2 linked regions of the Callithrix jacchus genome follow. The protein of the gene in region 1 interacts with the protein of each later gene in a pairwise test. Links are inferred from orthologs where the notes say so. Each region holds a gene or a part of one and is shown in the gene's direction. Other genes may lie near its edges.

What was found.
Region 2: the proteins of ERBB4 (region 1) and CFL1 interact in a protein complementation assay, tested with the Homo sapiens proteins (2 studies listed by BioGRID and IntAct, with this or other methods). The link is inferred for Callithrix jacchus from reciprocal best matches to the Homo sapiens genes ERBB4 and CFL1.

Annotation. Positions count from the first base shown.
Region 1 is NC_133507.1:134,244,632-134,248,890, reverse strand, and holds the start of ERBB4 (receptor tyrosine-protein kinase erbB-4), read left to right. Parts: upstream 1-1,181; 5' UTR 1,182-1,794; coding exon 1,795-1,876; intron 1,877-4,259. UniProt on the Homo sapiens protein: Tyrosine-protein kinase that plays an essential role as cell surface receptor for neuregulins and EGF family members and regulates development of the heart, the central nervous system and the mammary gland, gene transcription, cell proliferation, differentiation, migration and apoptosis.
Region 2 is NC_133511.1:122,933,898-122,938,219, reverse strand, and holds the start of CFL1 (cofilin-1), read left to right. Parts: upstream 1-1,492; 5' UTR 1,493-1,736; coding exon 1,737-1,748; intron 1,749-2,019; exon of another isoform or gene 2,020-2,841; coding exon of another isoform or gene 2,842-2,844; exon of another isoform or gene 2,845-4,322. Other genes in the region: structure-specific endonuclease subunit MUS81, read right to left, coding at 1-61, 146-280.

The DNA of each region.
Region 1 (4,259 bases):
GCTGCTTCTAGAAAAACCAAAAACGGAAAGTAATTCATACATAGAATGCCTGTACAAATAGCAAACCAATAACCTACTACCCCCAGGAGATTCTGGCCCTTGCCAGGGTGCAGTTTCATAGCTGTAAAAGGCAAGGGATATGTACATTGAAATGACCCAGTCCCAGAATATTTAGATTCAGAAAAGGTCAGAGATGCTCATAACTAGCAATGGCCTCAGGACTGGGGAGCCTGAATGCAGAGTGTGGACAAGGAAGAGGCCTAAAGCTAGGTCTACTATAGAATAAACAGAATCATTTAAGGTTAATAATGTTCTGATGTGTCCTTAAATTCTCTCAGGCTTGAGACAATTTCTAGCCCTTTAGGATCAAATCAGTGGCTTTGGACAAGAATCTGCTTAATAAGAATGAACTCCAAAGGTGAAAAACCCACAAAATCTAAAAATCAAAGGATAAGGGTTTATAAATGTGAAATTTTAGTTTGGCTCAATGATGGTCAGTTTGGAAATGTGGGAAGAACCAGAGAGATGGCATAACTGGGGCTGGAGCCAGGGTGGTGATTGGTGATTATACACCCACAACTACCTAACCGCAGGGGCTACCAGTTACTTCCTGATCACACTACTTTCTAATTGTGGACCATGAGTGGCAGAGTGCTGCAGGAGGAAGCTTTTTGCTGAAAGCAACATTGAGTTTCCTTTTATTTCTAGAGAAAGTCCTGTCTGTAGAGGAGCATTGGGGGGCAATGGAAAAAACGCTGCCTTCTTGTTTAAAAAAAAAAAAAAAATTTTTTTCCGTAAGCGCCCCTCCGATGGTCTGTTCACTTCGCAGGCCAGCTGTCCCCGGCCTCTGCCAGGGCGGGAAGAGGAGTGCTTCAGTGCGTGGCTTCGGATGAGCCCTTTAAATCCAGCTTCCCCTGCCCCCACCACGCGGCTCCCTCTCCCTGACAGGTGTTTTCCCAACTCCGGAGGCCCTAGGATTTTGGGGAGTGGCTGAGCCAATAAGATTTCCCTTTTGGGGGGGGGGAAGGGCGTGGCTAGTTGGGTCAGAGCATGGGCGGGGTTTGAGCGGCTGAGCAGAGCCTGCCTGGTTGCTTGGAGGGTTGTTTTATTCCCACCGCCCCCCACCTTTTTTTTTTTTTTTTTTTCTGGAGTCTTATTAATTTCTCTGTGGGGCTGCAGCTGGAGACCGCGGAGCGTTGGAAATGACGCTCAGAGCTTTAATTACTGCAGCCGCCGGACAAGTGTGAGGAAAGCTGACAGGAAAAAGAAGAACGGGATCCGGGGAGAAGCGAGAACCTCCCCCCGCCCCGCTCCCCTCCCGATTTGGACTGAAGGTGCACGGAAACTGAAGAAGCAGCCCAACATAGCCCTGCTGTGGGGAGAGGCCGGAAACCTACCGCCTCTTTGCAATCAACTTTTTTTGGAAACCTTTCTCCCCCTCTTCCTTTTTTATTGTTGACCAACCAGTGAGAGAGAGAGAGAGAGAGAAAGTGAGAAGGGAGCGAGCAAGTGAAGGCTCACGCGGGGAAATAGCTGCACAGTCCGGCCCGGAGCGCCACGCGCACACAGGCGCTCACACTCGAACGCACACTCGCCCCCTCCTCGGGCCCCGGCCCTGGACCTGCCGGCGTGGACTCTGTCGCCCGCCCTGGGAGTTGCTACACCGCGCGCGCCGCGCCCGCCCCCCTCGCGCCCCCACGCGCGCCCGGCTGTGGGATCTCCTCCGCGTGCCCGAAAGGGGGATATGCCATTTGGACATGTAACTGTCAGCACGGGATCTGAGACTTCCAAAAAATGAAGCCGGCGACAGGACTTTGGGTCTGGGTGAGCCTTCTCGTGGTGGCAGGGACCGTCCAGCCCAGCGCTTCTCAGTCAGGTGGGTTCCTTCTGGCGCTCCGGTTGCCAAACCTGCCGCCGCCGGAGGGGCTGCCTCGAGTGGCTCCCCTGCCCTCTTCACCCATCCCGGGAGGCGTGCAGGGACCGCTTGACCGGGGGCTCTCGGTCGCCCCTCTTTCCACTCGAAACTTACCCTGTATGTGTGCGCGAGCTTTGTTTACCGCAAAAATCATTCTCAGCCCCTGTCCCTTTTTTTTCTCTCCGTAACCCCCTATGTTTCTCTCCCGAGCATTTTGTGTGGAGCCTAAGCGGGATCCCTTATGGTGGCGCCTGTTGTTCGGGACATGGGAGACGGAAATCCCCAGTCAGAGGAGACTCTCCTGTCCCACTCTGGGCTCTCGAGGGAAGAAGCCGCTCCACCGGGGCCGCGGAAGGGCTGGAGTCCCAGGGCGGTGTTGGCTGGGCCTCTCCCGAACCCAGCCTGAAGGGAGGTGGAGAGTGGCGCTCCGAGAGTCGGGCTGCGCACCTGTGTGTGCTGCCGGCGGCCTCTGCGCCCCAGTCACCCGAGCCTTGTAGGGTCAGACGCGACTAGCGCCCAGCCGGGGCAGCCGAAGTGCAGCGGGCTGGCCCTCTTCGGCCCGGGGACCGGAGCGCCGGGCCTCCTCTGCCAGCTTCCCGGAGCCCTTGCCCCAATGACTTCAGGGGCGCTTGCTGGCCTGCCTGACCTTGAAAAAAGAAAAAGAAAAAAGGGGGAAAAAAAGGGTTGGCACACTCGAGCCAGAAGCCCGGCCTTCCCGTCGGTTGCCGTGTTTGGCTCCGGGAAGAGTTCTTCCTGTAGTTCTACTTGCTGTTGGCCGGAGTCCTTCAAACTTGTCTGTTTACTGCCCCGCGGTGCTGCCCAGCCTGCGGGTCACCGGATCCACCCCAGGCGCGAGCAGCGGCGGCGGCGGTGCTGGGTGCACGGCCACTGCTTGCTAGAGAGCTCGAACCCCAGGTACCTGGGCAGGCAAAGGGCTCATTGACCCCGAGAGACAGCGCGGCGGGGCTGGCGCACCACGGCGTGCAGGACTAATGACAGCACCTGCAGTGCAAGGGAGCTCAAAGTTTCTGACACTTGAGTTTCTTGGGATGAAAGTGGGACAGGAGAGGTCTGAGGAGGACCGCTGTCTGACGCGGCCAAGGGGTGGCTTTTGGAGAGCCAGGGAGATTTCCGAAACCATCCGGGGCTGGTGACTGGAGCGTGGGAGGTAGCTCGAGGTGATAAAGCCCCCGGGAGTGGCGATAGGGAGAGCTTTAGGCCCCTGTAGGGTATCCTGACCTCACCAAGAAAACAGCAAGCTGTAGTTTTCCCGCTCCGCCCCCGCCGCCGCCGCCACCTCCTCCTCCTTTGCCTAGTAAATAACAAGTTACAATCATCGAGCCTTTCAAAATGACCTTCGAATGGCACATGTGCGGCGTTTGTGCTGGCGGTTTGCACCCTCCCAATTACTCCGAAATTCTTCATGCATACCAGGTCCCGCGCTCCAGCCACCTCCGGAATCATACCAACACGGACTTGACATTCCAAGCGGCCTCTTAGATACATCTCTTTTTATCTCCCTCCCCACTTCGAGTCCCTTCATATTTCCCCTCAATGGGTTGATTATGCACATTGACCCATTCAAAGGCAGTGGCGACCGACATGCAGGCTTAACCGAGAGGAATTTCTACGAGGCGACCTACTGGGGACTGTCTGGTTCAGCCTCTGCCATTGGGGGACCCCGCTCCGAGTCCGCAGCAATTTGGTATTAACTGTGCGGCTCCGGGTTGAGCTATGCCGAAAAGCCCTTTTCAGAATTTCAGCAAGGAATGTAATCCAAATTAGTTCTGCAGCTGTCCTCTTCCTCGGCTCAGGCGACACCAGCTAGCGTCTCGCTCCTCTCTTCTCGTTTCCCTGGGCGAATTGTCAGACCCACAAGTGAGCCCATTTAGAGCGCGAGGATTAGCGTGCCATTGTTGTTCCATGTGTGACTCTGTACTTGAAATTCTGGGGGCACAAAGGCGAGTCTCACTTGTTCAAAACACAAAGTGATCCAGATGAAAGGGCCGCACAAAGAAAAGCTCTCGGGTGCATCCCTGGTATAATTGCAACACGCATACTAAGGTGATCCAGTGGAAACTGTAAATGCCCCGGGAGACTTCTTTTTTCATCCGCTCCCACCCCCACCCTGCCGCACCTGGCAGGGTAAGTTCAGCTGGTTTTAATGTAGTGTTATTATAAAAGCAAGTTACTGTCTGGGGTGTGAGTGAGGCTCTGTGTGTTTGTGGCTATGTAAGTGTGGCTGTGTGTTCCCAAGTAAATATATATTGCGCGTCTCCCCTCTCGCGGTTAGCAGTCAGTAGCAGTTTGGAGGAGTTTGTTTTGGTCCAAATGAGAAATTAAG
Region 2 (4,322 bases), on another chromosome or scaffold:
GAATCTTAGCTTCCTTCCCGCTGCGCAGCGGCAGTGGGTACCGCCGGAGGGAGCGCAGCGCCTGGCGGGGCAGGGGTAGGGTAACTGGTCAGGGCAGGCCTGACCTGGCCAGCAGCTGTTCCCATCGGTCCGCGCAAAGACCCACCTTCTGAAACACGAAGCGCGTGCGGCGTCCGCTGCGGGTCGCCTCGTCCCGCCACTCGGTCAGCCAGCGAACGAAGAGCGGGTTGGGACAGGCAGGCAGCGGGCGCTTCCGACCCAGGCGGACTGGCGCAGCCATGAGCCCGAAGGCGGGTCCTCCGGCGGGACTGGGACGCCGCCAGTTCCGGAGTCGGGATTCGAACACCTGGTCGGGGGCGGGGCGGCAGAAGAGGGAAGCTGAGGGCAGGACCGCTGAGATCACGGGCCCCCTTACGCAAGGGGCACTAACGAGAGAACCTGCGCTGCTCTAAGTGGTTGGTGCGCGGCGCTGTCTCTAACAATATTTCGCCTCGGCCCCGCTCCGGCCAGGACCAGCCTTTGGGACGCACCCCGCCCCAGTCCCCGGAACCTGGACCTGCTCCTTCCAGTCACCTCAGATTCGAGAGCGGGGTCATCTTTGTGTAGGTTAGAGGAAAACGGACAGCGCCCCCTGTGACGGGGGAGGACTGGCTGGGCGGTGCTTAACGGCCCAACATGAACTTGGCCGCTCTAAGGTCTCTAAGATTGTCAGTTTCCGCCTCAAGTTTGAAGAGGAGGCTGGAGATGGAGACTGGGCTTGAGGAAGAGTCCCGAAGAGGCAGGGGCCGGGAAACAAACGGGTGCAAACATACTGGTGGGAGGGACACCCAGAAAGGAGCGCCGGGGATGAGGCCACAAAGGTAAGGCAGGAGGAGCTGCAGCATCCCTGGAGGAAATGGTGGCCCTCATCCCCAGGATACAGGGCAAAGAGTGTGGTGGGGAGAAAGTCGGGGACGTGCCGAGAAGGCCCAAAATAGGACCTGGGGGGTTGGGGGCCAGAGGCCTAGTGGAAGAACTGTAAATTAAGAGGTGCCTGGGCACCTTGGCAGTTGGGGAGACCTGAGGTGGGCACGTGGTTGGGTTCGGGGGCGGGTGGAGCAGGCCGCGGGTTAAGACGACCAAACACAGGTAGACGGCAGAACACTTCGTCGTTTTTGTGGCCAATCGGATGTGGGAGACCCTCAAGGAGGTTGCAAATGGAAACCCTACAAAGGGTTTCAACCTCACTCCTGAAGGACTAGTATAGCTGAGTTGGACACAGGCTACTTGCCAGGGATTGAAGCAACACCCGGCCTCTAGTTGTTATGCCGGAAGTCGCGAGACGCAGGTCTCTAGCCTGCGAGGAAGAGAGGTGGGCGCCAGAGCTCGAGGCCCGCCCCTCCGGACTCCGCCAGCCGGCTCCGGCTCCCACCTCCCTACCGGCGCGGCCTTATAAGGAGCCTGAAGCCGGCTGTCGGGCTGGCCCCGCCCCCCTCGAGTCTCTTGTCCTAATAAGGACATCTAGGGCATCTCGCGGCTAGGGGCGGGCAGGAGCGCGTCTCCAGGGAAACTGCGAAGCCCCGTCCCCCTCCTCGTTGCTCTTGGAAACTCTAAGACTCAAAAAAGGTGGCGCTAGCCTCGTCTTCAGGCAGGGGCACTCGCGGGAGGCGGGGGTCAAGCTGCAGCCTTCACCTGGAGCGCTGCGAGCCCGGAGTGGAGAGCGGTGCTGTGGAACGTCCCCGACTACAACCCCCGGCATGCTCTGCAAGGTACCCCACTTCCAAGCATCGCTCTCCGTTTACAACCTTAATTCCGTTTACGGGTTTAAGGCCCCCAGGTCCATTTCTGGGTTTGACTCTTACTTGTTTGCGACACAGTCTTCTCTTCCTGGGCGTGAGGCTGTGGCACTGTTATAGGACAACAAAATCATCCCGGAGTCCCCCGCTCGTTTCTTTTTTTTAAGGAATATACTACCACAGAACTTGTCTCAGTTTTTACAGGTGTTGGAAGAGCCATATGCCTGGCTATAAACTCGAGAGCTGGGTTCAAGTCTGGTTTAATATCTGTTCCTTTTCACTGGCACGTAAAAGGCACGTAACGAGGCCTTGAATGTACAATTCATTCCTCGTCTTTACCCTTTATCGCCTCATGACTTTGCCAAACATCTTTAAAGAAGAACAAAGCTCTCAGAGATTTCCTTGCAGCCTTTCCCCTGTGCCTTTTTCTCCTATTTTTATTTTACTGACGTTGCACATGGCCTTTTATCAGAAGACGAAAGTGGCTTTGCACATGCAGAGTACTAGTGTTTGTCGGCCTGACAACGTCTTCATACTTGTGATTTTCTTTGCTTTAGGACGGGATTCAATTCAGAAAAGCAAAACCCTAACTTTACTCAAAAATTTCAGAACAAGGAAGCCAGATAATATCAGATGGGTCTTAAGAAAGCCGTGTTGCTTCGGGATAAAAAGCCGCTTAATCCGGGATCGTTTTCGGGTCATTTTACTGAGCGCCGCCTCGCAGGACTCAGAGCAGTTCCTGTTAAATTGGACCAATAGGCTCGCGCTGCGCGCTGCGGCCCTGCCCGCGGCCCGGGCCTACATTTCCCCGCATGCACTGCGGCGCGGGGCCGACCCGCGGGAAGACTCCGTTACCCAGCGAGCGCGGCGGCGGAGCAGGGCCGCCGGACTCCATTTCCCGTCGGCCCGCGGAGGGAGCACCGGAAGCCCGCCCCGCCCCTCATTGTGCGGCTCCTACTAAACGGAAGGGGCCGGGAGAGGCCGCGTTCAGTCGGGTCCCGGCAGCGGCTGCAGCACTCTCTTCTTCTGTGGCTTTCCGTGCCCTCTTCTTTTCGCTTCCGGAAACATGGTGAGCGGCAGGCCACGGCGCCCGAGGGAGGAGGCTGCGGGTCGGTCGCCTGCGCTCGGGAGGCGGCGGGGGAGCGATGTCCGGCACCCCCTCCCCCAGCGCCCCGGGCGGGATGAGGGTCTCGCACGGAGGAGCGGGCAGTACCGGAATGCGCGTGCGCGCCCGGGGGCGCCGGGGAGGGCCGGCCTGGACGTCGCTCGCGCGCTCCCTGGGCTCCTCTCCCCTCCCCCACCCGCTGGTGTGCCCGCGCTGATGGACAGCGGCCGCGGGGGGAGGGGTCTGGGTCGCGCGCCGGCGCGCCCCTCGCTGAACGGCCTGCGTCGTGCGTTGTTTCTTAGGGGCGCGCTCTCGACTGGAGCACGCGGCGTCCAAACCCGGCCCGGGGGCGGTGAGGGAAAAGCGCGCGAGAGGTCTCTGCGCGCGCGCCCCACCCAAGGCTGTTCTTGTCTCCGCGTCACCCTCCCTCGGCAGCCGGGTCCGTCTCGGTAGCAGGTGGCAGAGATGCCTGCGCCGGGGAGGGGCGAGCGCTGTCGCGGCGAGGGGGGATGCTGGGACAACAGAGTTCTGGTTGGGGCATGGGTGTCTGCGATTAGGGCCTTGCACCGCAAGGCTTGGAGGGGGCATCCCAGAGACCGTGGCCGGCTCTGGAGCGCACCCCATCGAGCTGCGTTCTCACCCTTGCATCGTGCGAGGGCTGGAACGGCGCTGTCCGTCGGCGCGTGCGCGCACTCTCAGGCCCGGCCGCCGGTGTCGAAGCTCTGGGCGAGCGGGGCCTTCCCGGATGGGCCTGAGGGTGGAGCCGAGTTTAGGGAAGTGACCCAGGCGGGCACCGCCCGGAAACCATCCCGCCCCCTGCATACGGCCATAGGGCTGAGAAAACCGAAGGTTATGTAGCTTGCCCAGGCTCCTGCCTGCAGCAGATGGGTCTGATATGCCCGTTGGTTAAGGCGATTCCACAGGGTTAGGGACCTGGAGGTGCTGCTGCCTTTAGGGTACGCGTTTCTCTACTGGGGAGGGGGCCGCCGAGCCTAGCTGATCTCCTTTCCCCGCCCACTCCGGAAGCGGTTGGGTCACGTGGCCAGTTTATCTGCAGTTCCGGGGAGTTCGAGGGAGCAGATTTACCGTGGTCAGTCCCTCCGTCTCCTGTCTCGGGCACCCCGAAGCACCGTGCAGAGTAGGAGTTTAAAGAGCTCTCGAGGCCTCTGGGCACTTGAGTTTGGCATGTCAGTTTCTACCAGCAACTTCTGGGGCCCATTCCCAGAAGAAAGTTGTCAGGCAGGGTCTTTAGTGGGGGTTGTGATTCTTGTTTTGGTTGAAAAAGACCCTCGCAGGGAACAGGCGTCGTTTGTGTAATAACTGCGTTAAGCAGTTCTGGTGGATTTGTTGGAACTGTTCAATGCCCTTGGGTCCGATTTAGCATTGTGGGGTCTCGGCTCTTTCTGAAGAGGAGTCTTGCTTCGGGTGTTTGGGTCCTTCTA